Linked DNA regions of Rhinolophus ferrumequinum. The main gene of each other region encodes a partner of the protein of the gene in region 3 in a complex. Links are inferred from orthologs where the notes say so. Each region holds a gene or a part of one and is shown on either strand. Other genes may lie near its edges. The genes, in order: CORO2A, GPS2 and TBL1XR1.

Region 1 (10,891 bases), on a different chromosome or scaffold from region 3:
CCCTCCATCCCCGGTCCCCATGTTCACTGCCCGGGTCCAACCTCATCACCCCAGGCCTGGACTACTTCCACAACCTTCTCTTTGTACGCCAGAGGAAACACACCAACATTCAAATCTGGCTATGCCCCTGCCCTGTTCAAAAGCCTTCCACGACTCTCCACTGCCCTGGACTAAAAGCCTTAGCTCCTACGTAAGACATTGTTTCAGCAAGTCACTTAACCTCTCTGTACCTTTTTGTTTTCTTAACTGAAAAAGAGGAATAAAAATCGTATCTCCCTCACAAACTTACAGGATTCCATGTTGGCTGGGCGGTGTATACAATCTGACTCATGGTCTCTCTCACCTGTCTCCTCTTCCCTCTCCCGTCGTCGTCACTCTGTCCTAGCCTGCTCTTCTTGAACTTCCCAGGCCTGTTCCTACCTCAGGGCTTTTGCACCGCCTCTTCCCTCCACCCAGACGGCTCTTTCCCCAGAAATCAGCCCAGCTCACTTGTTCACCTCCTTCAAGCCTTTGCCCAAAGTCACCTTCTCAATGATTCTCTGACCCCCTTATTTAAAACTGCAACCCCCTCCCTTCTATTCCCCCCACACATCAGAAATATACTCCTATTTATTTGCTCCATTTCAGTTATCACCATCTATTTTACTTATTGTTCACCTTTCTTCCCTATTAGATTGTAAGCTCCTTTATAGCAGATTTTTTGGTCCTTTTTTTTTTTCACTGTCAAGACCCTCCCCCTCAAAATACCTAGCACAATGTAGGTGCTTAATAAGTGAGTGGTTGAGTGACTAAATGAACAATGTAAAGCACTTAGGACAGAATAAGGCAGGTGGTAAGTACTCAATAAATGTTAGCTATTATTATTATTTTTTAATTCTCAATTATTGAATTTTCAAGGTGAGGCTCCCACGACCTTTTTCCTTGACTTCTCCAATCTCACAATCACAGTTTCCTAGCCCCCACCACACCCTGCCAATCTCTCAATTATGGTAAGGAACACACTGCTTTTTAATTATCTTTTTCCATTTAGGCTCAGTCAAATGAAATTGCCATTTCTTGTAAGTCAAAAGCAGCCAGATATTGGCCATTTCACATAGTTTAACCTAATATGTTTCCCATGGCAGCCTGCAGGCCCCCAGGATCTCAAGGCCTAGTACACAGTAAGTGCCCAATATGTTTTTGTCCACAGTGATGAAGTCATGTACTCCTGGCCCTTCATACTAGGTGGAATTGCAAAGCACCTTCTATCTGTCTGAAGGAGGCAAGGCACAGATTGTAGACTTCAAATAATAAATAGAGGATCGTGCTGAATTATTTTCCAGTCCTCCTGAAAAAGTCTCTGTCTCCATATGGTAGAGAAAATAAAAACAAAAACATGCTACGCTCTAAAATAATCCAGGTTCTGGCCATTTGGAAATAACAAAGGTCAAAGGCTGAACAAAATCTCTTTTCAGGGGAAAAAGGCTAGCTGCCTGCTTCTAAGGGGATTCATTTGGTGATGGTAGAGGGACGCTAGAACATTCTTTGATTATCTTTGTGTTCACTGCTCCTTCCAATAAAGACTTCAGTTAAAAGAAGTTTGCTAAGTCTAGAACATGGGTTGTCAGAATTGAAAAAAATCCAGCAATCACTGAAATTACCCCATGTCACAGATGGGGAAAGTGAGGTACAGAAAGGGCAAGGGAGTCATCTATGGTCGCAGAGTGGGGCAGAGGAAGAGTTCATCCTGGAATCTATGTCTGCTGACTTTAGTCTCAGGGCCTTTCTACTATGGGCCACACTACTATGCTTTAGTGCCACTGTTTTTTTTAAGCTGTAATTTTCACATGAAATGTTTATTAATCCTCAGATAAAACACCAAGAGCTGCTTCACTATAAGACAACTTCTTATAAATAATAGCACTACTCTCTTTCTCTCACTTCCTTATGGGAAAGTACTCAAAGTTAGAAGGCTAGGGGCAAAGGACAGTTAAGATAATTTTTGTGGACTTTTGTCACGAGATGCCAGGTTGCACTACAAAATTAAATGCCACTGGAGAATCCCTACAGCCTTGCCAGCATAGAGGTTTATCCTTTTAATTTATTTTTGCTAATTTTATAGGAATAAATACAGACCACTTTCATTTACTATATGGTATGTGTTTTCAAACACACATACACACACACACACGTCTTAGAATCAGGATCCCTGGGCTTGGTTGCTGGTTTGCTTTATGACCTTTGACAAGTCACATCCCCTTTAGAGATAGGGGATGCCTGTCTATAAAATGAGGAGGTTGGATGAGATGATTTCTTAAGATCCCTTTCAGCTTGGACATTCCATAATTCCATGGCACATTTTAAAATTATTAGCATGGGATGACTTTTCAATTACCAGAATCTGCCCTGCCCCTAAACCACGCCAAAATGGCTTGGACTAGCCGAGCAGAAAAACAGGGCCCAGATAATACACACGTAGAGATGACAGGAGACTTAGGAAGTACTTAAGCCTGTGCATCGGAGCTCTGCTCGAGTGACAGCACATATACTTAGTCTGCTTTTATGAGGGGATAATACCACTCATTTGTGGTCTAGTTCCAAGTTCTGTGCAGCTCCACCATGGCCAAAAGACAAGGTCATGGACAGTCTACTTCAGCGCTTAGGATCCCAGACTTGCGGCCAAAGGTAGCTCACCCTGAGCAAGTGCTCATCTAGCCTCTGCTTGCATATCTCTGTTGACACAGAGCTCACTACCTGCCCAGGTGGCCCCGATTTTCTTTTGGCTTTAAGAAAGCTCCAGGGAGAGGGGCAGGTCATGAAGGGGACGAGAGACCGGAAGGCCCAGACTTCGTTCTCAGTCAGGGCCTGCAACAGGAGAAGGACTCCTCTGGCTCCTCCTCACTTGAGACCTGTAAGGCAGCTGCTAAGCCAAAGGTGCACAGGAAGTGCAGGAGGCACAGGGACACATTCTGGTCCTGATGCAAGGGGTTCTGAACAAGCCCCAGGCTGATTACTGCCCACTCGGGGGCAGACATCCAAGCTCCCCCATCCTGCCTTTGCTCCCTTTTGCTCCAGCAGGAGAAACAGTGCTAGGCCTGGAGGTGTTCAGCTTGGAGGTGAGATTTATGGGACCAGGTGATTGCCTCTGGGTGGCGGAGGAGGGGTCAGATGTCTGTGTGCCCAGAGCAGGGCCCGCGGATTCCAGCTGTTTACAGCTAATGAGATCCCCATCATAAGGGGTGTGCAATGGGGCAGTAAGACCTTCCAGAAGGAATGCTACTGAGGGGCTGGCCCAGATGCCAGGGGTCTTTATCCAGAGAGCAGGAAGCCATAGTCCCTCAGACATGTGCGCTGTTCCAGACCCACCCCAACTCAGACACACAGTGCTTTTGGCACTGGGGTCGCCTCTGGGATCCACACATAGACGTGAGCCAGCCCTATCACACCCGCTGGGGCACAGAGCTAGGTGCCAGCACCTGAAATTTAAGGGACTTCCCGTACCATTCCCTAAATCCAGGTGCCTGCATGGGTCTGGTCCAGGCAAGTCTGAGGCTGAGGGCCCCACCACTTTCACCTCAGGGCTCCCCCAGCTCCAGAACGGGAGGCCGACTTGGCGGGCAGACTCTGACGGTCTCACCCTGCATGCCCAAGCTGGCTCCATAGAGACCTGGAGATGTCCCCTGTCCTGTTTCTAGGGCCAGCAGGTCACCCAGCTAAGAGGGGGAGAGTCCCAACACGGGTCCCGCGGGACACTCAGGCCACAAGGGGGCCTGTCGCGACCGACTCGCCACACCCAGGGTGAGCGGCCCTTACTGCATGCGGGAGGGGTGGGCGGTGCAGATTGTGCCCATCCGGGCCCCTGCCCTCGGGAACATGGACCTTGGGGCGGCCCCTCCCCGCAGCCCAGCGAGGAAGGGGCCCACTATTGCACCCTCCATCCCAATGAGGAAACTGAGGCCTGGAGAACAGTGCTTTGTGCAAGGTCACGCGTAGGGGCTAGAAGCCAGGTCCCCCGCGCTCTGCTGGGTCCCCCGCGGCGCGCCCTGCCCTAGCATCCCTCCTGGGGTGCTACAGCCAGGAGGCGCAGCACGCACACAGCGCGCAGACCGAGAAGGCACGGCTCGTGGCGCGGGGCCGCCCTACCTTGATGACGGCCGCGCAGGTGGCGGTGGCGGCGGTGGTGTCCGGCTCCGGCTGCTGCTCCGCGCTCCTCGCCGCCCGCCGAGTCCCGGTGCACAGAGCCGCCGCCTCCTCCCCCCCCCCGCAGCCAGGCGGGCGGGGCCTGTGGGCGGGGCAGGGGCCCGCACAAGCCCCGCCCGCGCGCCCCGCGGGGGCCACCCCTCCTTCCCCCATCCACCCCTCCTTTTCCTACCCTGCTCCTAGTCCACCCCTACCCTGCTCCTTGTCCTCGAGGGCTGGTCTCCCGACGCGCACACTGGCACAGAACAGGCGCGCACACCGGTCCGCGCACGCCGCAGTGATTGGGGCGGGCTCCCCAGCGACCAGGCTGAGTGAGGCTGGGGACAGTCAGACCCGCCTGGCTTTTCGTCCCACCGCTCCCTCTCTGCGTGACACAGGACAAGGGACTCGATCCCCAGGAGCCTCCCTTTCCACTTTGGTGAAATGGAAACAGTAACCGTGTCTGTCTCAGAGAGCTGCTTGAGAATTAGATGAGACGATCGAATTTACCCGCCCAGTAAATAAAATGCGCACACAGAGCCTGCCACAGAGAAGCTCTGGGCAAACCCGGGAGGGAGCAAAAGGGCAAGGAGGGTCGCTGGAGTATCAGGAGGACTCCCTTCCGTCTCCCGGTAGCCAGGAGGGGGCGCTACTGCCCAGCCTCGCGGGCTTGGGGTCCTGAGCCTCCCAGGCAATGGGGAGGAGATGGGGAGGCCCCGCCTTTTAGTAACACCACTACCTAACACTTACTGAGCCAGGCCCTGTTCTAGGCACCTTGACTGCGTTACCTCACTCAACCGTCACACAAGCCTATGAGGTTATACTATTACTCATTTTACACATAAGGGAGCTGAGGCACAGGGAGGTTAAGTACCTCACTCAGGGTCACAGAGCTAATAATTCAACCCTAGGCAGTGTGGCTCCCAAACCCAATTTTTTTTTTTTAAATTGAAGTTTAATGGGGTGACAATGGTTAGTATAGTTACACAGGTTTCAAGTGTACCAAGCCCAATCTTACAGCCACTCCAAACTAAGAGCTTTGTTTTGTACAGTGGTGTATTTAATGTGCCAGGGCCTAGAACTACCTGGCATATAGTAGGCACTCAATATGTATTTGTTGAGTGAATAACAGTGCGTACTACGTATCACTTTACAGACATTATTTCATTTAATCCTAGTAACTCTTTTACTTAGCCACTATTATTACCCCCACTTTACAGATGAAATAATTGAGGCTTACAAGTCGCTAAGTACTTGGGGGCTCTTGATTATCACCTTAGAACAGCCAGGGCCAAAGCCTGTGATTCAGTGTTCACTGGGCCATTCCTCTGCCCAGAGCTGGATGGGCTCCCTGACTACTGCCCAGAGCCCAGTCCCTCAGTCTGGCCTGCAAAGCCTCCACTCTGCAGCCCTGACCCAGGCTTCTTGGAGCTGGATTGCTCAGTGGGCTGGCTGAAGGCACGCTTCCAGTATCTGCATGAGTTGGATATTTGATGTTTCAAAAAAGCATATGGAAAATCAGAACATTGTGGGCGTTCCTTATACTTATGGTTCAATATTGCCTTTGTTTTTTTATTACACCTAGCAGGTGGGCACCTTTCCAACGCTAAGACATCTGAATGCTTAATTCACCTAGGGCTTGGGCAGTATCTTGGGTGTATCCCCCACCCCCTTGCACTCTTACATCCCTGTCTTTGCTGACACTCTGTTCCGCCAGGAATTCTCTTCCTGCTATCTCTGGCTAAGCTGACTCACCCTTCCTTCCAGGATTGGCACCAACACCCCTCCCCAGGAAGGCTTCCCAATGCCCTGTGGGTGTGCCCTGCCATTCTGCATCTTCCTGTCCCGTGCCATGATGGTAGGTGTCTGTATTTGGGGTGAGACGGGTTTAATAGGGATCTCTGGGGGCCATGCGCATATGGACCGAAGGACAGAGGGGAGGCCATTGGAAGCCTCTGTAATAGACACAACCTGGGACTCTTCCTGAAGATGCTGTATTTGTGTGTGTGTGGGGGGGGTCCTCATTTTGCTGCCCCTTCTCTTCCCCTAACCTTGGTCCATTTGAGGAAGGCTACTCCCTGACCATTCTCTGCATTGCACACATGGGGAAACTGAGGCCAGAGTGGTGATGACTTGCATAGGGCCCCTTAGCTAGAAAACCACATAATAGGTCTGGTCCCAAAGTTGGGGCCACCCGCCAGTACCTTCTACTGGGCCTTATTGCTGATTGGGATGGGCCGGGACCAACACTTTCCTTTCCCAGGTGTCAACATAGCCCAGCTTTGTTTAATCTACTGTGTGGGTAAGTGCCTTGTGGGGGACCAGAGTGTGTGTGTGTGAGGGAGGGAGGGAGGGGGAGGGGGGAGAGACAGAGAGAGAGAGATAGAGAGAGAGAGAGAGAGAGAGAGAGAGAGATATCTCCACCTACATGCCCAACTGGAGCTTTCTGTACAACATGGCCCTGTGCCCATGGGAGAGTGAGCTGAGAAAGACTAGGGGTAGAAGCAACTGGGAGGTAAGGTTCTGAGTGTGGGGGAAAGTAGCCCTGAACACAGGCAGTCTGTAGAAGTGAGTGTACCCCTCCCACCTTGGGGTGGAGGTGAGGGGTCTCCCAAAGTGTCCTCCAGGCCCTTCCTCCTCCTTTGAGGAGTTACTTTATTCTTGGAAATTTTCCCCCTGGGTAACTCCTTCCCCCTCCCCTGTAGAATGGAGTGTGGACCTCAGCTTGCTGGGGGCCTAGTGTCTGGAGAGAGATGCTCTGAGCAAGAGGTCCCATCCCCTGGGGTAGGAAGGGGGGCTGTGAGGGATCAGATCCTCCAGCTCTGGAAAGCAGCGGCCCCTGGGGATGGGGGCGACAGCTGTGGTGCAGGGCCAGGAACCTGACACCAGGCATAGGCCCCAAACACCCTTCAGGAAGAGCAGGGGGAGGGTGGGCGGTTTCCCTCGGAGCAGCAAGCAGCAGCCCCAGACCTTCTGGTGTGTGACTCCCTCCCCCCACCTGTCCCTGCTACATTCCTCCCATTTTCCTTTGCCTGGAGCTCTCCCCACAGACCCTACAACCACTCAGGCCATGGGCCAGGCCTGTCCTTTCCCCTGGGCCCTTGGGGGAGATTTTCTAGGTTCCAGACAAGGGGAGGTGAGCTGGGAGGAGCCCTCCCTGGTTTTGCAGTTAGGGCCTCTAAGCTTGAGTATGGCTTAACTTCTCAGGGGCTGTGTGAGTTGGGGCAAGTTAGTTAACCTCTCTGAGTCTTGTCCTCTTTATCTGTAAACTGAGCTTGGCCTGTAGTGGGCTAGTGCTCTAGGACAGGCAGTTCTCATTCCTGCCTCTGCCTCTAGCTCCCTCTTCAGGGATGGAGGAGGCCCCATCAAGTCAGTCCTCACTGTCCTGTGGTCCCCAACAGGCTTTGAGAGGGGCCCAGAACCAGTCCTTTTAAAAGGCTGCTCAGGCGATTCCACGGTGCAGCCACATAGGAACCAGGTTACACAGCACTGGGCCACCTGTAAAGCATCCCACAACCCCCAGTGGGGGAGCGAAGAGTGTAGGTATCCAGCTCTGGGCAGAGCTTCTCCTCTGATGTGTGTGTGGCAGGAATAAGAAATGGGGGGGAAGAGTGAAGAAACGTGCAGAGGAGGAAAAGGGCGAGGATGAGGGGGCCTGGGGAGGAAGGCAGAATGGAGGCGAGAATGGGGCAGAAGTTGGAGGGGAAGAGGAAGGAGAGAGGTGGGGAACGGGTAAGGAGGAGAGGGAGGGGGCCATCGATCTTGTCCGATCTGGGAGTTTTATTTTTGGCTGAGGTGGGAATTTGTTTTCCAAGGCTGGAATCTGAGGGGCCAGCTGTGTCTCCTGGAGCCTTGGCCTTTCGTAGGCTGCAGGGCCCTCCTGGTGATGTTTGCTTCATAAAAAGGCCGCTCACTGCTGTTCACTGTGCCTGGCATCGGCTCAGCACTGGTGTCATCTCCTCTCCCCTGTGGTGGCCCTTGTGGTTACAGCCTGTTGGGGGAGCAGCCAGGACTTCCCCCAGTCCACTCTCATACCACCATCATGCATGCTTCACACATACTGTTTGCTGGTGAAAGGGCCTCGGCAGATGAAAAAAGTTTAGCAAAAATGAGAAAGGTTGTCAAGCTCCAGTGTGGGGCATTCCCAGGAAACCTGGTGCCCTGGGGCCAGCCAGTAGCCCATGGGAATGTGGGACGAAAGGAACGCTGAGTGTCCCCTCCCCAGGGTCGTGGAGGGGCGCAGTGTGGGGGAACTGGGTGCCTGGTGTGCCACGTTCACACCTATGAGTGCCAGAGGGCCTGTCCCTGGTCTCCAGGGACAGGCACGGTCCCCTTCCCCAGCCCTGCACAGGAGCCTCACATCACAGGGGGGTTTCCATGTGGGAACGCCGCACCCCCCATCCTTCATACCAGATTGCTGAGCTCAAGGCTATACTGTGGCAGTCACAGGTTTGCTGAGAAATTAGCAGCCAAAACCACTGTGCAGCCGTGACTCCCTGCCTGGAGGGGGATGGCAGGAGCCTGTCTGCTGAGGAAGGGCCTGGAAGAGCCCAGAACTGACACTGAGTTCCTGCACACAGTGGGTGTGTGCCTAAGAGCCCGCTCTGACTTGGCGACAGGCTGCAGCCTGACCCTCGCACTGCCTTTTCCTCACTCTCCAATCACCATCAGAGAAGAGGTGACTCTTGTCCTAGCCTGCGAAGTTGGTGGTGGGCGGTCAGAAGGCTCTCTGTGCAACCCCAGGTTCCAGGTTCCTCTTGGTAGTAGGGCAGGGGTTGTCCTTGGGAACCCCACCCCCACCCCAATGGGCTGTGAGCACAGGTGCAAGGCTCAGGGAACAGGCCTGTCAGGAGACAGGAGCTGGGCCTGGAACACTGGCCCACCCAGCATCGGGGAGGCCCAGAAAAGACAGAAGCCCTGAATGCACAGGGTCCCAGCTCCTCAGGGAACCAGGAGGGGGACTGGCCCTGCAGAGACGCCCACAGAAACCGCAGCCAGGGATGTCCCAGGGCGGGAAGGCCCTGGCGGTGGGACGCCCTGGAACCCTGGGCTCACCCCGGAGCAGATGGTTACTGAGAACCTTGTAAGTTCCAAAGCCTGTGAACTAGTTCCTATACGTACAGTGTTTTATACAGATAAACTCAGAGCGTGTTCCAGGCTCCCTCTAAAGACAGCACTCTTGCTTGTCTGCGTGCTCACTTCTGAGGAGGAAGTGAGAAAGGGGAAGCATCCCTGGGTCTGTGCTCAGCAGGAGATAACCTAGCCAGTGGCGTCCCAGAGACAATGTTCTGATGGGGAGACTGAGGCCCAGACTGGAAGGTGCTTGCCCAGGGTCACATGGTGCCGGGGCTCAGAGGTGGCACCACTGTTCCACGGTCCTCGTCCTGCAGGCCTGGCAGTCGAGGGCGAACAAGGGCTTTGGGGCCACGTCAGGCCTCCCCCTCCCCCTCCCCCTCGTCCTCGCTGGTGCAGCCCTCAGGCAACACTGGGTCCACAGATGCCCGGGTCTCCAAGTACTGGGCCTTGAACTGCTCCAGCTCCCGCAGCTCAGCCTCCAGCCGCTCCCGGTAGGCTGCCCGCAGCTGCCACAGCTGTTTCATAGGAAAGGGGTTCATGTCATGGAAGGCGATGACCATCAGCTTCCTGGGGGGAGAGCACAGTCAGCCCAGAGCGGTGTCCCCTCCCCAGGCACGCCTGTGCTCATTCCACCCATGTGGCCGAAGTCCCTGGGCCCCGCCCTCAGCGAGCTCACCTTCCAGGGAGGAAATGGTGAAAAAGAAGACAGTTTCCACCTGAGTCACATATATTGAGACAGGAGAAAGTTTAGGGCTGGTTATGGGAGCTCTAAGCCACTAAGGAAAGGTTAGTCAGGGAAGGCTTCCGGGAGGGGGGACACATGAGCAGGTGTGTGGGTGATGGGAGGGGGCACGCATGGGTTCTCACCGGCTGTTGCAAATGGTCTTGGTGAAGAAACGCAAGTACTGGTAGATCTCCAGGCTGTCTCGCAGCCTCAGGATCTCTTCCTCGTTGTACTTGAAAATGGCCAAGGCATAGCGAAACACCACCTGGGGGGCAAAGTGGGCGCTCAGTTGGGGCAGGTAATCCCCAGAGGGAGGAGAACCCACACACCAGGCAGTGTGGAGTCCTTGGACAGGCTGCAGAGGTTGAAAGCTTGGGGGTGCCGTGTGTGCGGGGAGACCACAGGGGAGGGAGGGATTGGGTCTCCCATGGGGAGCACGGCTTGGAATCTGGGCACTGGGGCGAGTCCCAGCTCTACATGACTTGTCCTGAGACCCTGGGTGAGGGGTTGGCCCCCGGGGACCTAATGGGAATAATGCTGTCCTTACATGGGGCATCAGCAGGAAACGAATGAAATGACAAATCTGAGGGTGCTCTGTAAACTGTGAGGTGCAGTATGTTATCAACCACCGTGTGGGGAAGGGCCTGCCCAGGGTCTCCTAGCAAGGTCAGGCGCAGAGCTGGGACCAGACTCAAGCGCCAACCTCCCAATCCAGGGCTCAGTCCTAAGAGGAGGAAGAGAAGGAGGGGCCTAGGTGACCGGAGGGGCAACGGACAGAGTTGGGATGTGCCTCCTGGGCCATGTTCATGCTTCCTCTCCAGGGAAAGGAACCTCCCTCCAGCCAACGTTAGGAAGCATCTCTGGAGGCAGAACCACCCCTTTTCCTCCCATGTGCAACAGGTTACACAGCCATGCTCCCAGAAGACGGCTTCA
Region 2 (10,346 bases), on a different chromosome or scaffold from region 3:
AGGTTCTGACAGGCAGAGACTGAGCAGGGACCTGTGTGGGGAGGAAGCTGGGAGGCTGACTTGCCCCTTTTGCCATCCCCCCAGTGGCACTGCCATCATGCAAGATGGTAACACGATGCGCAACAACTACGGGTGTGACCTTGACGCACTGGGCACAGGTGCACGCATCGGCATGATGCGAACTGCCAAGGGCGATTTGCACTATTTCATCAACGGCCAGGACCAAGGCGCTGCCTGCTCAGGCTTGCCTCCGGGTAAAGGTGACTACTCTGTGGCTTTCGATCTGCCACTCAGCCTGGCCCACCCTGGGCCATCAAGTTCCTGACTTCTTCCTTTCCTACCCAGAGGTGTATGCAGTAGTGGATCTCTATGGCCAGTGTGTCCAAGTGTCCATCACCAATGCCACCGGCCCCATGGACAACAGCCTGGCGACCAGCAACACCGCCACTGAGAAGTCATTCCCCCTGCACTCCCCAGGTTCCACCAGCAGGGAGGGAGGGGGTGCTCTGCTTGCCTGCTGTGGGCCTGAGGGATACAGCTTCCAGGTCAGGGAAGCTATTCAAAGACAGGCTGGCTGCAGCAACTACAGGCAAAGGGGAGGGAACAACCCATGGTGGGAAGCAGCCAAGAAGAGGGCAGGAGGTTACTCCTGGTACACAGGGCCTGGACACTTCCCTGCCACCAAGGGTTCAGGACACCATAAACGGGACATATCAGATTTGGGGATGAGTCTTTCTGTGGTGAAAAGAGGTGTCAGAGGTCTTAAAAGAGAAATGGCAGATGGGACCTCTATGTTAACTTCCTGTTTCACCTGAAAGCTTTGCTCTATATCCTACCTGAAGCTTGTTGCCCCAATCCTACCCGTACCTTTGACGCTATCTTTCCACAGTGGCTGGTGTGGCTCACCGATTCCACAGTACTTGCGGCAAGAACGTCACTCTGGAGGAGGATGGCGCGAGGGCGGTGCGTGCAGCTGGTTATGCACATGGCCTCGTCTTCAGCACCAAGGAGCTCAAGACTGAGGAAGTCTTTGAGGTGGGCTGTGGAGATGTAACAAAGGAGGCTGCCGGGCCCTTCACAACAGGGCCAGACTGCCTCCTACCCTCCCGTCCCCAGCTGATGCCAGCTAATATTTTCTTTCTCACACAGGTGAAAGTAGAAGAGCTGGATGAGAAGTGGGCAGGTTCCCTCCGGCTAGGGCTGACCACACTAGCGCCAGGGGAGATGGGGCCTGGAGCAGTCAGTGGCCCTGGGCTGCCTCCCTCCCTGCCCGAGCTCCGGACTAAGACCACCTGGATGGTGTCCAGCTGTGAAGTGAGGCGTGACGGGCAGCTCCAGAGGATGAACTATGGCCGGAACCTAGAGAGGCTAGGGGTGAAGCACTTGGATCCAGGGACAAGGGATAGGGTTGGGAGTGGGAGTGGCAGGGAGAGGTGTGCTGAGCATCTGTCCTTGTCTCATCTTGGTTCTAGGTGGGGAGCCGTGTGGGCATTCGGCGGGGGGCAGATGACACGATGCACATTCTGGTAGATGGAGAGGATATGGGGCCTGCAGCCACTGGCATTGCCAAGGTAGATCCAAGACTTGCCTTGGGTTCTGGGAGTGAGGTTGAGGTCTTCCACTCATCAACTTCCTCGGTCTTTTGTGCCCCCAGAATGTGTGGGCTGTGTTGGATCTGTACGGGCCAGTTCGGAGTGTGTCTATTGTTAGCTCCACGAGGCTGGAGGAGCCAGAAGGCACCCAGCCTCCATCCCCCAGTTCAGACACCGGAAGTGAGGGCGAGGAGGACGACGACGAGGGCGAGGAGCATGGCCTGGGAGTAAGAGGCTGCGGCAGGGCCCTCTGGGCACATGGATGAGTGGTGGGTGGGCCATTGGCCACCAGGTCGTTTTGGGGTTCTCTGATCCTGTGCTGGATGGGCAGAAGCTTATGTGCAAGCTCTGTGTGAGCTTGCCACTCCACTTGGATGACTTGGGCCTCACCTGGGCAAACCCAGTAGCTCAGTCTCTCCTCCATACCAGGGCCAAGATCAAGTGACTATTATGCCTACAGCCCTCGAGTTCCTGGAAAACCATGGGAAGAATATCCTCTTGTCCAATGGGAACCGTACAGCTACACGGGTGGCCAGCTACAATCAGGGCATTGTTGTCATCAGCCAGCCCCTAGTGCCCCAGCTTCTGGTCCAGGTGGGCCTCACCTCCTTATCCCCAGCAATTCGCTCAGGTGACCCAGGGCCAATCCTCTTGGAGCATGGCTTTTCCAGGTTGAGGACATAGTGGAAGGCAAGCCCCTTGGATGAGCTTCCTGGGCTTTTGTTCATACTTTGTGGTGAGAGTTGCTGGTCGGTAACCAGTAAGCGCCCACCTGATGACTGTAGCGAGGGAAACAGGAGGGGAGAGCTGGGGGAGTCCAGGGAAGCCACCAGGTCCTATATGTGGGCGCAGGGAGGGCTTTCCAGAGGAGGGGTCTTTCTACTGCAAGTTAAGAGATGTTAGTGTTCGCCAGGGGAAGGAAGTCACTAGGGACAAGAATCCTTACAGAGTCAACAACAAAACCAAGGCTGAAAGAGGGGAAGAAACAACTGAATTTGCAGTTTCCAGGCCTTCAAGCATCAGAAGGGGCAGCATCCCAGGCCACACTCTGGGAGGTGTCATCTTCCCTCCCTGGCTGGGGTGAGGAGCATAGGTCTGCTGGGTGGGTGGCCTCTTCCTAAGAGGCCATGACTGGGGAATAGTTGCCTTCTTCCCCAGGTGCGGATAGATTTCCTGAACCGGCAGTGGACATCTTCCCTTGTCCTGGGAGTCATCACCTGCCCACCTGAGAGGCTCAACTTCCCTGCTTCTGCCTGTGCCCTCAAACGGGCAGCCTGGCTGCTCCGGGGCCATGGGGTCTTCCACAATGGCCTCAAGGTGGGTAGGGAGCAGAGAGACGGGCGGGGTCCTGAGCTCTGGAGGTAGGATCACAGGTATAAAGGGGCCCTGTAGTGGGTGGGCTCACACGAGGCTGTGAGTGTCATTACCTGGACAGTCGGGCTTACTGCCTCTTATCGCCCTGCCGTTGAGAACGTTGCAGTGGTAGGAAAGAGGAGGCGAAGTCTAGGTCATTGAAGCAGTGGGTGGGGCCCAGGCAGTAGGCAAGTATGAAAGCAAAGCCCAGGGACTGGTGACCTGAAACAGGGTGAAGGGCGGGGGTGGCTGCTTCTGGTGGGAGTCTGATCTCTGGGAAGACAGTAGGTCTTTTTTCCTCCTAGATCTGTGAGAAGTTTGGGCCAAATTTGGACACATGTCCTGAAGGCACCATCCTGGGACTGCGGCTAGACAGCTCTGGGGGACTGCACCTCCTTGTCAATGGAATGGACCAGGGGGTGGCTGTGCCAGATGTCCCCCAGCCCTGCCATGCGCTTGTGGACCTCTATGGGCAGTGTGAGCAGGTTAGTGGCCATGGAGGTGGGGAGGAGGGGGTGCCTGGGAGATGGCTGTCCGAGTAAAGCGGAGGTCTGTGGGCCAAGGAGGGGCTCAGCAGGCCCTGGAGGCTGACCACCCCTCTTTTCTGCAGGTGACAATTGTGAACCCTGAACCAGGGGCTGCCAGTGGGAAGAGTGTTGGAACCCAAGGGGACATGGAGAAAGCCGACATGGTGGATGGTGAGCCAGTCCAAAGGGACCAGGATCCTACCCCACCCCACCGCATACTTCTAGCCCCATTTCTGGTCACCTGTGCCCCCTCTGTTCCTTCAGGGATCAAGGAGAGTGTGTGTTGGGGTCCACCGCCTGCTGCCAGCCCTCTCAAGAGTTGCGAGTACCATGCTCTTTGCTCCCGTTTCCAAGAACTGCTGCTGCTTCCTGGTGAGTTCCCAGCCCCCCAGAACTTGCCTCATTCCCTGGCCCAGTGTAGGGCCATGCCCAGATTCCTGGGGACCAGTTGGAAGAAGGCTGTGTGGTTGAGATGCAGGGTGGGAGCCACAGCACCAAGTACCACTCATTCTCCCACAGAGGATTATTTCATGCCTCCACCGAAACGTAGCCTGTGCTACTGTGAGTCTTGCCGGAAGCTGCGAGGGGATGAGGCCCACAGGCGCCGTGGGGAGCCTCCCCGGGAATACGCCCTGCCCTTTGGCTGGTGCAGGTTCAACCTCAGGTATGGATGGGACAGAGTCATGTGTGTCTCCCTTACTGTTCTTGAGAAAGGAGGGTCCCAAGAGGGTGCGTGGAAGAAGTGACAGAACTTTTATCTAGGGGATGACCTTGGGGAGCCCGTGACCTTTGTCCTTTCTGCCCACCTAGGGTGAATCCCCGCCTGGAGGCTGGGACACTAACCAAGAAGTGGCACATGGCGTATCATGGGAGCAACGTGGCAGCTGTCCGGAGGGTGCTGGACCGAGGAGAGCTGGGAGCAGGTACCGTAGCTCCAGCAGTCAAGGCAGGCTGGGCCTGTGGGCTGCAGCAGGCCTACCCTGACCCCGCTCTCCTCACAGGCACTGCCTCCATCCTGAGCTGCCGGCCCTTGAAGGGAGACCCTGCGGGAGGGTTTGAGGAGCCTGGTGAGAACTGCGCACCTTCTCGGGAGGAGCAGCCCCCTGCAGTGCTGCTTTCTCCCTCCCTCCAATATGCTGGGGCTGAGACCCTGGCATCCAAAGTGCAGTGAGTACACGGGAGGGGGCCCCAGGGCCACTTGGGTCTCCATGATTTGCCTTCCCTTTCCCTACCTGGTTTTGCTAGTTCCTCAGTTTCCAGCCCATCCCTTTCCTCACACATTCCTTGAATAAATGCCACTTCTTTCATGCTATCAGTGAACAAAAAAGGGAACCTTGCTCTTGTATAACTTACATTTTTCTCTGTAGAATGTTTATGCGTAATATTCAGTATATTTAAAGGTGACAAGTGATATTATGGAAACAGAAAAAGTGGAGTGGGGTAAATGGATCAAATGTGCAGTTGGAGCAGGTCTATTAAATAGGGTAGTCAGGGTAGACATCAAGGTGAGATTTGAGCAGACTGGAGAAGGAGGTGACGGAGTTAGCTGAGGCGGCATTGGGAGGAGAACCATTTGGAACAGAGAGAAGAGCTAGAGCCAACTCCCTACAAGGTGGGAGTGATTCCTAGGAACAGGGAGGCTAGTGCAGTGGTTGCAGTTAGCAAGGGGAAGACGTGACAGGCCAGAGGCCTCACTGCCCTATTTCTACTTCTTGCCTGACAGATTCCGGGACCCCAAATCCCAGCGGACACACCAGGCCCAGGTGGCATTCCAGGTGTGTGTGCGCCCTGGCTCCTATACCCCTGGCCCTCCTTCTGCTGCCCTCAGAGAACCTCCTGACCCTCACTTCAGCCTAGCCGAACTTGAATGGGTAACCAAGGAGAAGGGGGCCACACTCCTCTATGCCCTGCTGGTACGGGTAGAATGAAGGGTGAGACCTCACTACTACAAGCACAGTTGGGCCACGGGCCCATGGACTCTTGAGTGATGACTGCCTTCACCTCATTCCAGTGACCCACGGCATGCACGGTGCTCAGTCTGGCGGATGCACAAGAGTATGTAGGCAGACTCTGAGATTTAGATGGGAGTGGAGCACACCTCCACATCCAGGGCCCTTGAACACTCTCTGAGGTGAGGGAGCTTGTGAGGAGCCCGGCTCCAGGCCCTGGGTAACCCCTCCTCGTGCACTGATTTGGGGAACACGACTCCCTATGACTCCCTCCCCTGTATCACTTAATTTATTTCCGTTTTGTTCCTCATTACTGTGAATCCCAGAGGAGTCTCCCTGTGCCCCCCATGAAGCTGCTTTTTCCAGGAGCCACCGGGCGGGAGCCACCGGGCGGGAGCGGGGAAGGTGGGGCCCTCTGTACAGTTGTTATGACTCTGATTTCTAAGGAGCCAATAAACACGGTCTCAAAGCACCCGCCTCGCCTGTCTCTCACGCGCCCCTCGGGGATCGTCCCCGACCGGCCCAGTCAGGGACCCACGGGGTAACCACTGCTAGCTCTGAGCGTCTCGCGGCTGGCGCCAGGCCAGGAAGCAGCGCCCGGGGGTGGACGGCGCGGGGCCGGCGTAGCGGAGGGCTTTGGACGTCACAGGCACCCGTCCGCTTCGCTTCCGGCTTTTCCTCCCCGCCCAATCCGCGAGGGCTACAGCTCTGACCCCGGAAGGATTCATTCCAGTTGCCGGATGTGACGCATTGGCCAAAGTGCGCAGTAGGCCGCGGAGAAAGCGTAGAGAAGGCGGGTAGGAAGGTGCTGGCGCCCGGGCTGCCGGGGAGAGGACGCGAGTGTCGAGACCTGGGACCCCTGCCCCGCCCGCACGCGCGTACGCGCCGAAGCCGAGGCGGGTGAACGGGCCAGGCCGGGCGGCAGGCGCCGGACACGTGATCGGGGCGGCGAGCGGGCTTCCGCCTTCGCGGACCCGGCGCGATCCACCCTGAGCGCCCGCCTTCTCGCAGGCCTGGTCCGAGGTCTGGCAGTCTGCAGCAGAGCCGGGCACCCACAGTTCAAGCGTCCCCAGCAGCACCATGCCTGCGCTCCTGGAGCGCCCCAAGCTTTCCAACGCCATGGCAAGGGCGTTGCACCGGCACATCATGATGGAGCGGGAGCGCAAGCGGCAAGGTGAGTTGGGGCCAAAGCGGGAGGACAGTCGCCCAGGGCGGCACCGCTATCCCAGGGCTGACCCCCATCCCCGGGCAGACCAGTACACCGGCGGCCGAAGCTAAAGGAGGGGTGCAACAGTCCTGTTGTGGTGGGAGTTTAAATCGCCGTTTCTAAACTGTAAAACGCTTCAGCTGGGAAGGACCTTGGAGAGCACCTAATGAAACGTCCCTCTCCCTTTACCCTATTGCAGTGGTGGGAGAGGCCTGCCCTCTCAAGAGCAGAAAGGAGCACTGGGATAACCAGTTTTCGCTGGTCTTCAATCCCTAACGTTCTAATTATTTTAACCACCCCGCCACTTCACCATTTTGCCTAACTCTTCTCCAGAGGAAGAAGAGGTGGACAAGATGATGGAACAGAAGATGAAAGAAGAGCAGGAGAGAAGGAAGAAAAAGGAGATGGAGGAGAGAATGTCACTAGAGGAGACCAAAGAACAAGTATGTAGTCCCTTGATTTCTCCCAGTTCTTTCTTCCTTTGGCTCTCCTGCCTTTATCTCCTCTCCCCTTCTTTCTCAGATCCTGAAGTTGCAAGAGAAGCTTTTGGCCCTACAGGAAGAGAAGCACCAGCTTTTCCTGCAGCTCAAGAAAGTTTTACATGAGGAAGAAAAACGGAGGCGAAAGGAGCAGAGGTGGGATTTAAGAGCTAAAATTAAAATTGGGGGCAAAGTATAACTGGGATCACGTAACAAAAGATCAGTGTTTAATGGCAAAAGAGGGGGCACTTCTCCTTGATTTTGACCGGTCTTTCTTTCACTCCAGTGACCTGACCACTCTGACGTCAGCTGCATACCCACAGGGCCTGACTGTTCACACAGGAACTCATCTCCTCAGTATGCAAGGTGAGGATTAAAGAAACCACTGGTCCGAATGGGCCCTCCTAGGACTTGTAGACTCCCATTTCAGCATCACGAAGCCCCTCTTCCTCTCTAGGGAGCCCTGGAGGACACACTCGCCCAGGTACCCTCATGGCAGCTGACAGAGCCAAACAGATGTTCGGACCCCAAGTGCTTACAGTAAGAGTAGGATTGGGTGTCTGGCCCATTTTTCCACTACTACTTCCACCCAGACCCAAGCACCCTTACTAAACCAATATTCAAGTCATGAGTGTAACATAGATTTAACTGTATAGAGAAAAATGGAGCATACACAAATCAGTTGCTACTTTCAAGGAGTTTCCAGATAGTAAGGTGTCATCCTCCCTCTTTAGACCCGGCACTATGTGGGCTCAGCAGCTGCTTTCGCAGGGACCCCAGAGCATGGGCAATTCCAAGGCAGCCCAGGCGGTGCCTATGGGACTGCTCAGCCCCCACCTCACTATGGACCCACTCAACCCGCCTATAGTCCTAGTCAGCAGCTCAGAGGTGAGTGGTGGAAAAAGGTGGGGTGGGAGGGCGGGGAGACACTTTCCTCAAGGCCCAGAGGGAGTAGTATTTGTTGTAAACAGACTAAAAGGAGGTATTAATGGCTGTGCCTCCTGCCTTTCTCAGCACCGTCAGCGTTTCCTGCAGTACAGTACCTGTCTCAGCCACAGCCACAGCCCTATGCCGTGCACAGCCACTTTCAGCCCACTCAGACAGGTGATTATACCCCATGCAGGGGACCTAGTTCCATGGGTCCTCCCTTCCCCATTCACTAACTCATTTCACACACCCTTCTTCCCTACTTAGGGTTCCTCCAGCCTGGCAGTGCTCTGTCCTTACAAAAGCAAATGGAACATGCTAACCAGCAAACTGGCTTCTCTGACTCAGTGAGTGTGGAGCCTTGGGAGGTCAGGGGAAGGGCTATGCTAAGGGGAGCCCCAGGCTGCCTCAGGTCTTGATTCTGTTCTCTGCAGTCCTCCCTGCGCCCCATGCATCCCCAAGCTCTGCATCCAGCCCCTGGGCTCCTTGCCTCCCCCCAGCTCCCCGTGCAGATGCAACCAGCAGGAAAGGTAAGGATGGTAATCATACCTGTCACAATCCTTACACTATGGGAGAAAACAGGATTGGGTAGGACAGGTGGCCCAGTCCTGTTTTTTCCCCCTTCTTCCTTTGGGGTGATTCTAAGGGTGTAAGGAAGGGAAGAGCATGCACACTGACAAAACCCTTCTTCCACCACCACCAGTCAAGCTTTGCAGCTACCAGCCAACCGGGCCCTCGGCTCCCTTTCATCCAGCACAGCCAGAACACGCGATTCTACCACAAGTGACCATCAAATTTTATCATCAGCCTCACTCCCTACCCCCCACCATGGGCGAAGGTCCCCAGTGTGCTGTAGTAGTCCCAGGCCAATAAAATCTACCTGCCATTACCTTTGGCTGCTTGTTTGTGTTGCCTCCCACCTGGACTAGGCCAGGGCTGCTTGGATGGTGGGGGTGGCTAGCAAGTCCATTATAAATCAGTGGGACAGTGGGCTGTGATGAACTCAGCGACACAATTCAATCTATAATCTATTTCTGGTTTTCAAATTTACCTTTTAAGTCAGCAAATACCCATTTATTCAAAGAAGCATCCAAGTTGGGGCTTCATATTAAACTTGTAGTTTTATTCAGGTTTGATTTTAACAAATGTGTCGGGGAGAGAGCCCACAGGAAAGGGTGATGCCCATAGGGGCAGGGCCCTCCCAGATGCCTGAGGAGGGAGCAGGTCCCCTCCCCTCTCCTCCTCTTCTCTCCCCAGCCAAAGGGATTTGGGGAGAGACATAGGCGGGGAGGGGGCTGGTCCCCAGTCTGTGGGGGTGGTGCTTGGGATAAAGGACTATGGGGAACAAGGGACCAGACTGAGGATGAATAGGGGAAGGGCACAAGGACCATTTGCCAGAATCCACAGCTCTCTGATTCCAGAATTTAAAAAAAAAAAAAAAAAAAAAAAAAAAAATACTAAACCACAAGCAGCACCCACCCCTTCTCCCCTACCAGGGCTGTAGTGCGAGGGGAGAAGAGGAGGGCAGCTTCACCGAGGCCATGGCTCACTCCTGGCCAAGGGAGCAGGGTGAAGGGCAGGGGCTCCCCGACAGATTGAAGGGGTGGGGAAAACCAAAATAAAACGTCAAATAAATCGTATAGAAGTCCAGCCAAGTGCCCCGCCAGAGGTGGGCCAGGCTGGGGCAGGGGGCCTCTGCAGGCGCCAGGATCACTGCTGCCACCACCGCCACCCTGGGTAGAAGAAAGAAACCAGGTAAGACAGGAAAACACCTTCAACAGGAAGAAGGGTAAGAACAATGCTGGGGCCAGAAAGTCAGCCTAGAAGAATTAAAACTAAAGCAACTCTGATGGGGACAACAAGTGTGTGGAGGAGGCCGAGGGGAGTTTGTCACACTCACCTGGGAGCCAGTTATTTTGCCATAGCCTTGATTGCAACAGCTGCCTCCTCTGTCATGGCAGACAGCACCGTAATCTGGGGGAACAAATGAAGAGAGTCAGAAGTCTGAGAGCTCAGAGAAGCACAAAGAGAAAAGCTGGGCACGAGTGGGGGGCTATATACCAGGATCTCCTCTCCACAGTCATACTTCTGCTCAATCTCCTTGCCAAGGTCTCCCTCAGGCAGACGAAGGTCCTCTCGCACTTCGCCGCTATCCTGGAGCAGTGATAGATACCCATCCTGGATGCCAATCAGCTGGGGGCAGATAGGGAAGGAAGCTGAAGGTTGAGGATAAGAGGTCTGATAGACAAACTGGGGTGGCAAACTACTAACACCAAATACCCTCTCCTGCCATTTCCCTCGTTTCGCAGCAC
Region 3 (10,081 bases):
AATAAATGGTAGCAATTAATCTGGTTTCCACCAATGTCCTTTCACAAAGAGCATGTCACCTTATGTTCACCTACAATAAAGTATGTTTTAGGCTTCTGACTACATCAAGAGCAGAAGAGCATTGGTAATAAAAGAATATATTTGGGGTAGGAGATAACTGTAGGTAATAGAAAACTTTTCTTTATCCATACCCACTCTCTAGTCAATTATACCTAGGCCTATGATTTCAAATTTCATTTCTGATGAGACCCTAAATTCTCCAGCTCCAATACTTCCTCTGAACACCAAACTATATATCTAGCTGCCCATTCAATATCTTCATGAGATGTCTAATAGGCACATCAAATTCTAAAATAAAACTCTTGATTTTTCCCTCATAAAAATAATTTTTCATCTCCACAAATGGCAACTCCATTCTTCCACTTGTTTGGTATAAAATCTTGCAATCATTGTTTAAAACGTAGACAGAGTTTAGCTCCTTCTAGCCAGCTCCTGCCACCATCACCCATGGTACTATCTTTTCCTTGGGATTTCTGCACTGTCCCCTGACTAGTCATTCTCCTTGTACTGCTGCACTGTTGCACTTGGTCCTCTGCACAGCAGAGTAGTCCTTCTTAAAACAAAAGTCAGAACTCGTCACTTCTCTGCTTTCAAAATCTTCCAGTGACTTTCCATCTCACAAGAAGAAAAAGGCCCTTCACATTTGGTCCCTGGCTCCCTCTCCTGACTCTCCTTTGTTTACTTCATGCCAATCAACTGGCATCATTTTTATTCCTAGAATACAGCACACTTGCTTTTACCTTTGTTCCTTTGTGCTTGACATTCCCTGTGCCTGGAATGCTCCTTCCTCTGATAATTGCACACTCACCCATTCACTTCACTTAGTTTTCTGCTCACACGCGTTACCTAAACTGAGCAGCCTTCTCTAAACACCCTATCTAAAATAACATACATTTTCAATCCCCTCTCTGCCTTATTGTATGTCATATCGTTTACCTGACTTGTTAGCAGTTAGGTGTGGTCAGATGCCCAAGTTCTGGCCAATGGAGTATGACTGGAAGTGATGAGTGCAAATGCCAGGACAAGTCCTGAAACAGCAGGTATAAGCCCTCAATTTCTCCTCCTTTCTAGCCCAGTGGCTGTAATCTGGATGTCATGGCAAGAGCCTAGAAAAGCCATCGTAGACCACCAGCTGGAAGATGGGTGTTGAGACACTAGAGAAATCTGAGTTCTTGATATCTTATCAGCTCTAGAGTGCTTACATTTGAATGGCCACATAAGAGAGTAAATTTTTTATCTTGTTTAAGCCTTTTTCATATATTTTCTAAGCCTTTTGTTTAAGCCTTTGCTATAGAAGTGAAACTATATTCTAATACAGACATGTTATTTTTTTGAAAGTCTGACTGCCCTCCCAACCCCCACCTGAAATGGGACTGGAATGTAAATTCCATGATAGTGGAAGCTCTGTTTGGTTCACTGTAAATAGCTTCTTGAACAGTGCCTGGCACAGTAAGCATTCAGTAAATGTTTGTCGAATGAACGAATGCAAAACCATCAACATAATGCAAGGCCTTGAGTGCTGCCCTGAGGAAGCACATGGCTGGTCAGTATAAGTAAGTAGAGCTATATGCTCTGTGTGTGGCTGCTTTTCTGTTCTGACTGAATCACAGAGGCAGGATACAACCTGCTATTTCCATTATCTGAGAGGCATAAATACTTGTAAAATGGTTGTGTGTTTCTTTTGTAATTTAAATGAAGACTCCCAAATAAAGTTCATGGTTCTAATGAAATCGGGTCACAGAGTCATGGAAAACTGTGACAAGGTTCATACTGATGAGGGAAGGTCACAAGTCGCATGCTAAGCACAGATGGAGAAAAGGAGCTTGTGTGCTGAGATCCTGAGATGTGTGGCCAAGATGTGCATCAGTCTGGATGGCAAAAGCTGATAGCTGAAAGAACCACAGACAAAGAATTGCACAAGCAGAGTCAAAATGAAACAGAGACATATCACAGGGTATCAGCAAGACGCTTGGGGGTAAATGCTACAGACATAAAGCCACTGAGTTTCTGGGTAAGAACATAAAAGGTTATAGTATAGTGCCAGGATAATATTTTTGTTATCAAAAATCTTTTTCATGCTGTGAAGATCATTTTGAACACCTTAAAAACATAGATCTGTTAATGCAAACAACTTGAAACATCATGGTGGCTTTAAAAATATATATAGGAATGACATCCTGTGGGCCCAGGACTAAGCCACCTTGACTTTGAAATGTTCTATTTCCTGGGTGATGAAAGTTGCAAAGGTGTAGGCTATCTTGCCATACCACACCCCTGGGTGTAATATTATTGAAATAAAACAAGTCAAGATTTGTTTAGTTATTTTACAATATATATGTAACTTCTGGTAACAGTTACTGGTATGAGGTTTTTCTTTGTTGACTAATTAGCTAGAAAGTTCAAGAGAGCTTTCTTAATAATGTGCCTCTTTGCTCAAGAATTTCTTAGTAATGTCTCCTTTTTAGAAACATATTACCACTTATATTCAAAGTAGAAGGGCAGCTTTTAGATTATGACAAAGCACTGAAAATTAGTACAATAGTTACTTCTTTGTCCCTACCTCCCTCTTGTGCCTAATTATTGCTTGAATTTTGGGGAGGCCTCTCATCTTGTACACTGGATATATTAGGATGACTGAAGGGTGAGGTAACAATACATGCCACCTTTATATGGTGGCTCATTTATCTGAGGATTTCACGTTGTAGCCACACTGTCATTTCCGATAGGTTCCAGAATATTGAAAATGAAAGTGATCAAAATACGATCTCATTTAAAATCCCTCCGCTGGAAGAATCAAGGCTTTTCCACATTGAGTGCTTTTTTTTTGGTCCAAGGGACTTAAAGTTTCTCTTCAGTGAGCATGGTGGGTGAGGTGCCCTTTTACTGGAGGTGATGGGACAGGTCCCCACCTTTGATAATTTTTATCATAATTTTCAAATGAAGTAATTTGTGCACAGAAAGGCCTTGTAAATCACAAGGATGTAAACAAATACATACCGTGCTTCCCCGAAAATAAGACCTAGCCGGACCATCAGCTCTAATGCGTCTTTTGGAGCAAAAATTAATATAAGACCAAGTCTTATATAAGATAAGAGCCGGTTTTACATTAATTTTTGCTCCAAAAGACTTAGAGCTGACTGGCTGGCTGGGTCTTATTTTCGGGGAAACACAGTAGGTTATTATTACTAGCATTGTGATAAAAACAACTTCTGTTAGGAAAGGAGGCAGCTTAGCGTAGGGTATAAGAATTCCAGGCTGGAAGCCCTAGACTTTAAGAACCTGAGGAAGGGTGGGCCCATCCTTGTAGAGGGAAAGATGGAAGTCATTTTCAGGGAGAATAGTGTGTGTGGGGGATCCCAGGTTTGAAGATGACCCTATTATGACTCCTGTAGTTGGGAAGTCCACATTCACTGGAAGAGTGGTTTAATTTTATAGTAGCTGCTGCCTGGAGAAGACCCATGCGTGGTGCCACAATGTGAAACTTCAAAAACAATGTAGGCCAATAGATTGCTTTCACTGGGTGGCTCAGATAATGAACCCTAATTTTACTGAGACAGTTCACTTAATTGAAGAGAGGATTATGTTTAGTAACCTACATATGTCATTAATCAACTCTTTTAAAAAATAAAATAATAGGAAGCTACTATATTCTCATCGCTTCTGGAAGTCTTTGCAAAGGTGCTAATTGTGGAGTAAATAAGCCTCATTTTTAGAATCTTACTGAAATGCAAAACTTGCTTTCCTTGTGCTGTTTCCCTGTACACTCAACACAGTGTTTTGGAAACCTGCAGTTATCTAAATTCCCATCGGGTGACATTGTTTAATCTAACATTCCCTCTTTCATATATGAAAAATAGCTCTAAGGACAATCCACTGAGAGGCTTTGAACTCTCTTTATGGTGGTTGGGACGGATTTTCCAATCCCACCCCCTTTCCTCTGATGGTTTATTCTGCCCACTCCTTTCCCCACCCTCACCGCTGGTCAGGAGAGCCTCTGGCTGCTCCCCTTCTCCCCCAAGCAAGGGCTAATCAGGGGAGAGTCGTTGACCTTGGCGAAAAAAGCACTGGTCTAATCACTGAGCTTATTAGGGCACGGGAGTCTAGAAGCATAAAAGTTACTTCCAATGAATTTTTTTTTTTTTTTTGGTGTGTAAAATTAGGTCTCTGATGTTGAGAGGAAAAGACTATTATTGCTTTAAAATAATGACTAAACCTATTTTCAAATATTGTGGTGGAAGTATGAAAACAGAATCCTTCACCCTAAAAAGGCTGCAAAAAATGTTATTTTACTTTGGAGACAGTAGTAACTGAAAATAACAACAGGTTTCTTTCAGGTCATATCTTAAAAGGGTAGCTGCTTTTCATGTCTTAGGGTTGTACAAAGGTCTTTTTAAAAGGACCCCCCAATCCCTGCTTTCTGAAGGCCTTAGAAAGATGAACACATTTGTCTTAAAAACCGAGGTGCCTCCCTTTTAAAAAACAACCGGCTGCACTCTCTTCCTCAGTCACATTGTCACATCACTCATCTAAGTTATACTTTATAAACTGCCTTGATATGCTACACACATGCAAAAAGTACACAAAGTGGATAAACTTCTGTCGATGCTGCGGTAGAGGTATATATTTAGTAATCAGTTACATTATTTTTGTGAAATGAGAGCTGATCGACCAAACCTTTCAAACAGACCCACCAGACGATAAATACCACCATATGTTTGATTCACAGTACATTTGAGCATAAACACTTCAATTACAGCTTTGTGTTTAGTATCAAAAACCATTTCTTGTGTGCGTGTTTTCCCTACAGAGTCCCTGCTCTGGATTACATTTTGAAAATCGCTTATTTACAGATAAAGCACCTTTGCAGGTACGCTTCCGACAAACATATGTATTTATGCACACAAAGGTGTGTGCACATCTTTTCACAAACAAATGTCCATATGATGCCTGCATCGCGCTCCACGCACATGCCCACCGAGTGTGTGTGCTCAGCCGCGCAGCCCGGATGCCGGCGGGGACAGGCTGCCCCCCAACACGCTGGAGCCCTGCCGGCCACCCCAGCAAACTTAACCAGCGTTGCCACATTGGCTACGGCGCGAGCCTCCCCGCCCCCACTGGGCCTCGGGCGGCGCAGCCCACACCCACCCAAGCCACCCAGCCGCGCGCGGCGGTGGGGGCAGGGCGGACAGTACCCGCGAGGCGCCTCGGAGCGCCCGCGGGTTTTTCTTTATTTTTAAAAGACTGCGCCGCACACGCCCAGCCCCCAGCACCGCCGCGGCGGGCGGGCGGGAGGGAAGGAGGGAGAGGAGCGAGGCCGGCGGAGGCACCCCCCCGCGCCGCCGCCTCCTCCCCGCGTCCGCGGCGCCCCTCCCCCGCGGGCCCCTCCCCCGCGCGCCCGCCCGGCGCAGGCCGCTCGGGTTTGTTTTGCTGCGCGGCCGCCGCTGCCGCGGGCCTCGCGAGCTCATTTGTGCCTGGCTGGTCCCCATTCCTCTCTCCCCAGTGTTGAGTGTCTGAGCCGTTGGCTGCTCCGAACCGTTTGGCTCTTTCCCTTAGTAACAGCTTTTACCTTCTGCCTCAATTCCTCTCCCCGCTCGCGCCCTTCCCCCGCGCGCCGCCTCCCCCCGCCGCCGGCCGCGTGCGCCCCCGCCCCTCCCCCCTCGGCGGGAGCACCTCCGCTCGCCACCTGGGGACCCGCGCCGCGCTCCCCGCCCCCGCCCGCCCGGCGCCCATCCCCCGCGCCCTCCGCTCGCCGGGGTTATAATTGCCTCTCACCCCCCGGAGGGGTTATTTTGGGGGTGGTTGGAGGCGGCGGCGGCGGCGGCGAGGAGGGGAATTTCCTTGTGCCTCCATTCCTGGGAGGGGGGAGCGGCGTCGGAGGCCACCGTTTCCAGGTAAGCGCTGGGGGCCGGACCCTGGGGTGGGGGCGACCGCGGTCCCGGGCTGGGGGCGCGGGCGGAGGCGGGCGGCCGGTGGGCGCCGGGCCGTGGGGGGGATGGGCGCAAGTGGAACATGCATTTTTCAACTTGGCCCTTTAGGGAGCTGGGGTTTGGGTGGGGGAGGGGAAGGCAGGGAAGGCATTTAGGGTGCCCCATCCCCCTTTTCCTCTCTCAGGCTTCTTTGAAATGCTCACGTGCCTGCCCAATCCCTACCCTTTCCTGGTCTTGGGGATCCTTACCCTTATTATGTTGTCCCCGAAAATGTGCACCTCGGCCTTCTCCCCCTCTTCCACCCTTCGTGCATTTACACCCCCTTTTTGTGTGTGTGTATGTGGGGGAAGGCTTTCAGGAAAGAATTTGCAGCAAATTGAATCAAGGAGCCATCATGAGGCCGACTCCTTTATAGCCTATTTTTAGCAGAGGAGAGGGATCTTTTCCGTGCATGTTATTTTGTTAAACCTCAGGCAGCAATGGAAATCTGCTCCCCTCCTTGGGCGCGTCCCGGGCCCAGGCGCGGCGACCCTAGCTGGCGTGCGGGGGGCTGCGGGCGGCTGTTGGGGCCGCGGGACCCGAGCGGGGGAGGGGCGCGGGGCCGCACTTCAGGACGTGTTTATTTGTAACTTAGTGCTTTTTATCGTCCTAAGGAGGTATTTGATAGAGTCACTTTGAAGTTGGGTTCAGAAGTGTAGAATTGGCAAAGTTATTGCCAGCTTCCTGGTAAGTTTTGGGTGGCAGAGTCACATTATTTTCTGACAGTGTAAAGGCCACGTTGTGAGGGTGGTTTCTCGGTAACTTCCTCTTTGCAACCGATGTCATTTTTTGAACAGAAGCAGACTTTTATTTAAGTGAAATATTAGTCTTAAGTGGCAGCTCGAGGGAAGCCATGCATGTGTTAACATGTTCAGTATTTTTGGAAGTTCCTAATTTGCTGAAACAGGCATCACTTTGCAGTGGCAACCGAGATTAAATTTAGGTTGCGAAAATGGTGTGTTTCGTGTAAAATTTGGCTTGTAAGAACTCTTTAAAAATGCTCCTGTTGTTTGGTTATAAGATTTCGAAAATAATTTGGTGATTATAAATGACAGGGGTCGGAACCTAGTTAAAAACTGGATTTCCACAGTGCCTGGAATTTACTTAAAACCTTGGACTGTGCAGGCACCAAGGTGAACAGTTTTAGTACCTCTGTGATTTACAGTTGACTTGGGGAAGTTTACTATTGGCTTTCTTGTTTTCCAAACAAGCACATTATGTTGATCTAAACAAGCTTGTTAATAAAATATGGTGGGTGAATTGGGTTATTTGTAGTTAAAGGGTTTACCCCTCCCCCCATGTAATTAAGTAATCATCTTCCTCCCTCTTTTTTCCTAAAGACTCCTTTGTCAGATTGGAAAATATGAGGCCCTGGTGGTGTTTTTATCTACTTACCTAAAACAAGTTGTAATAAATATCCTGGTTACACATTGAAGATACAGTGAGTGACTCTTTGGCTTTTCCAGTGTGGTTTATTTTCATTTTTGTTAAACCAGGCCCATGCTGTATTAGTGTGTTTTAGTAATCCTAACTTCCTGGGACTGTATGTTCTCACCATTTTAATAAGTTCATGGTCAAGGGAAATAGAGCTGCTTTGTCTCCATGAAAACGGTGTGTGTATGTTGGGTTGTGTCATGGGAGTTCATGGCAAGCAAGCCTCAGAAATTATCATTGAGAATTCTAGAAATAGTTAGCATTTACCTGTGTAGGAGGGGTGGTAGATAGAAAATATGCCTGAGAGTGTGGTTAGGCATGTGATACATTGTTTAAACTTTTTGCTCTTAAATTGAGGTTTTCCTGTTTGTTTGGAATATGATTTTTTCCCAGTTCTTTTATCATGCACTATTTATGTATGTAATAACAACCATTAAATCCATAAATAAATACTGTTTTTTGCCATATGAGTAGTTAGAATCAGATCTATAGGACAAAATACTAAACTATATAGAGGGGTGAAAACATATTTACATGGAAAAAGTTTTTCCTACTATTAAGGAACTTAAGTAAGGGACTTGTAAACGGCTTAAAAATTGTTGTAAAGCTCACCATCTTATGGAGGACGTTTTTCTTCCAACAGACACCAACTTTGGTTGTTAATATGGTGGAGACTCGCAGTAAATGGAGTGACTCCTTGTGGAGGTTGTATTTTTGCATTGGTTGCTTAAAAGAAGCCTTAAATCTTAAACATTTTAATAACTTCACAGGTGTCCAGGAATCTTTTTGTTACTTGTGTTCTCAACATCTAATTAAGGTTATCCTGATTACCATGATACATACCTACCAAGAGAACAAGAAGTAACTGCTTCCTGTGTACTGGGAGCTTTTGAAGCTAAGAGGCAGAAAAGACAGAAGCTTAATGTAAACATAGGGGTTACTGATAAAAAGAGATGTGGCTAATGGACCTTTTGAAGGAGACAACCTGTTGAATAAATATATCTGTTCGTATATTGCAATGATATATAAGTACAGTCTTGTCAAGTGAGTAGCTTGACAAAGGAATCCTACAGAAAAGGAATTTGCTACAGCAGTATTACTACAAAGAATTTCTGATTTGACACATTGGATGAAGTTAGTAGAAATAATTTGTTAGGTTTGTTCAGTTTCTGTGTTGTTTATATAAAATGAGAGGAATGTGAATGGTAGTAGTCAAGGGACAGAGATGGCAGAAATATTAGCACTGTTTGGGGCTTGGTATTTTTCTAGTTCATGTGAGTTTAACTTCACAAATAACATATAGTGTAAGTCACTATATGCAAAAAATAGAAAGCAAAAAAAATAGAAATGCAGAAAAAGAAAGCAGCTAACATGGAGACATTTATGCATTCCCATAGTACAGAAGGGCTAGGCTCCCAGGGCTGTATAATAAAGAATTGGGAAGAGCATGGTCCAGTTTGGAGACCACCATAGTGGTATCTTCTGCTCTATCACCAACAGAAACTTGAATTCAGACAGACAAACAAACAAACAAACAACTGAGAGCTGATGATGGTGGAGAGGTTTATTCACCACCTCTGGTATTGGACTCCATAAGAGTACAATGAGTTGGCCTGTTACAAAGAGCCAGAAGAAAGGGACTCTGCTTGGGCTGGGGAGCTAGGAAAGGTGTGAGTTACTTTCTGCGTCATTTATACCTCAGACTAATCCTATGAGGTGGGTGGTATTGGGTTCTTTCTGTGCGTGATGACACAGAGCCATGCAGAAAAGTTAATTCACTTGTCCAAGGCCACCAAATGACCAAATGATGCACTGCAATTCAAACTTAGGTCTGTGTGAGCCCTAGTCCAAATTTGTAGATGACTTTTGCAGTGCCAAAATTTTCCAGCTGTTTTGTCAGTCTTGTCTGTAGATATGCTTGCAAAAACGAGTGTTTTTAATCAAGTTTATAATTCAGAAGTTGGGTGTCTCTGCTAACCGGGTCAAGTGATTGCATGGATAAATGAAATTCATGTGATGCAAACATCAGTGTGCTTAAACTCCGTTACAAGTGTTTAATTAGATGCAGTCTTGTCAACTGCTATATTTTTTACCTTAAGATTGAAAGAGGTGAAGTAGCCTCTCCAAGTACTGCCCACAGAAATAAAATAAGAAGGTAAAGCAAATAAGAGTATGCCCAACTATCCTCCAAGTAGATATTCTTGAAAACTTGTATAAGAAAAATCATGTTTTGTGTAGCATAGTGATTCCGTCTGGGGTCCTTGAGGCAGATTGCCTGGGTTCCAACTCAGGCTCCATTCCTTACTACTGTGTTTCCCTGAAAATAAGACCTAGCGGGACGATCAACTCGAATGCGTCTTCTGGAGCAAAAATTAATATAAGGCCCGGTCTTTATAATATAATATAATACCAGGTCTTATATTAAATTTTGCTCCAAAAGGTGCAATAGAGCTGATTGTCTGGCTAGGTCTTATTTTTGGGGAAATAGGGTGGTATGTGTGACCTCAGGGGAGTAACTCCTGCTGTGTCTCAGTTTCCTCCTCTGTGTCATGGGGACAGTTGACTTTGTGGAGTGTGAGGATTGAGAGAATTGTATGTTTAAGGTGCTGAGAATAGTACTT

What was found.
Region 1: TBL1XR1 (region 3) and CORO2A share a complex: the UniProt entries of both Homo sapiens proteins name them as parts of the N-Cor repressor complex. The link is inferred for Rhinolophus ferrumequinum from reciprocal best matches to the Homo sapiens genes TBL1XR1 and CORO2A.
Region 2: TBL1XR1 (region 3) and GPS2 share a complex: the UniProt entries of both Homo sapiens proteins name them as parts of the N-Cor repressor complex. The link is inferred for Rhinolophus ferrumequinum from reciprocal best matches to the Homo sapiens genes TBL1XR1 and GPS2.

What each region holds. Positions count from the first base shown.
Region 1 is NC_046295.1:54,547,857-54,558,747, forward strand, and holds the start of CORO2A (coronin-2A), read right to left. Parts: upstream 4,236-10,891; 5' UTR 4,123-4,235; intron 1-4,122. Other genes in the region: TBC1D2 (TBC1 domain family member 2A), read right to left, coding at 9,509-9,749, 10,102-10,223.
Region 2 is NC_046304.1:11,525,473-11,535,818, forward strand, and holds GPS2 (G protein pathway suppressor 2), read left to right. Parts: upstream 1-6,162; 5' UTR 6,163-6,501; coding exon 6,502-6,595; intron 6,596-6,961; coding exon 6,962-7,071; intron 7,072-7,150; coding exon 7,151-7,263; intron 7,264-7,393; coding exon 7,394-7,473; intron 7,474-7,564; coding exon 7,565-7,653; intron 7,654-7,841; coding exon 7,842-7,995; intron 7,996-8,121; coding exon 8,122-8,211; intron 8,212-8,301; coding exon 8,302-8,381; intron 8,382-8,468; coding exon 8,469-8,564; intron 8,565-8,737; coding exon 8,738-8,821; 3' UTR 8,822-9,459; downstream 9,460-10,346. Other genes in the region: NEURL4 (neuralized-like protein 4), read left to right, coding at 85-260, 346-477, 890-1,035, 1,150-1,374, 1,473-1,571, 1,655-1,819, 2,022-2,186, 2,751-2,909 and 7 more; EIF5A (eukaryotic translation initiation factor 5A-1), read right to left, coding at 9,946-10,008, 10,096-10,227. UniProt on the Homo sapiens protein: Key regulator of inflammation, lipid metabolism and mitochondrion homeostasis that acts by inhibiting the activity of the ubiquitin-conjugating enzyme UBE2N/Ubc13, thereby inhibiting 'Lys-63'-linked ubiquitination.
Region 3 is NC_046285.1:66,367,025-66,377,105, forward strand, and holds the start of TBL1XR1 (F-box-like/WD repeat-containing protein TBL1XR1), read left to right. Parts: upstream 1-5,698; 5' UTR 5,699-5,951; intron 5,952-10,081. UniProt on the Homo sapiens protein: F-box-like protein involved in the recruitment of the ubiquitin/19S proteasome complex to nuclear receptor-regulated transcription units. Plays an essential role in transcription activation mediated by nuclear receptors.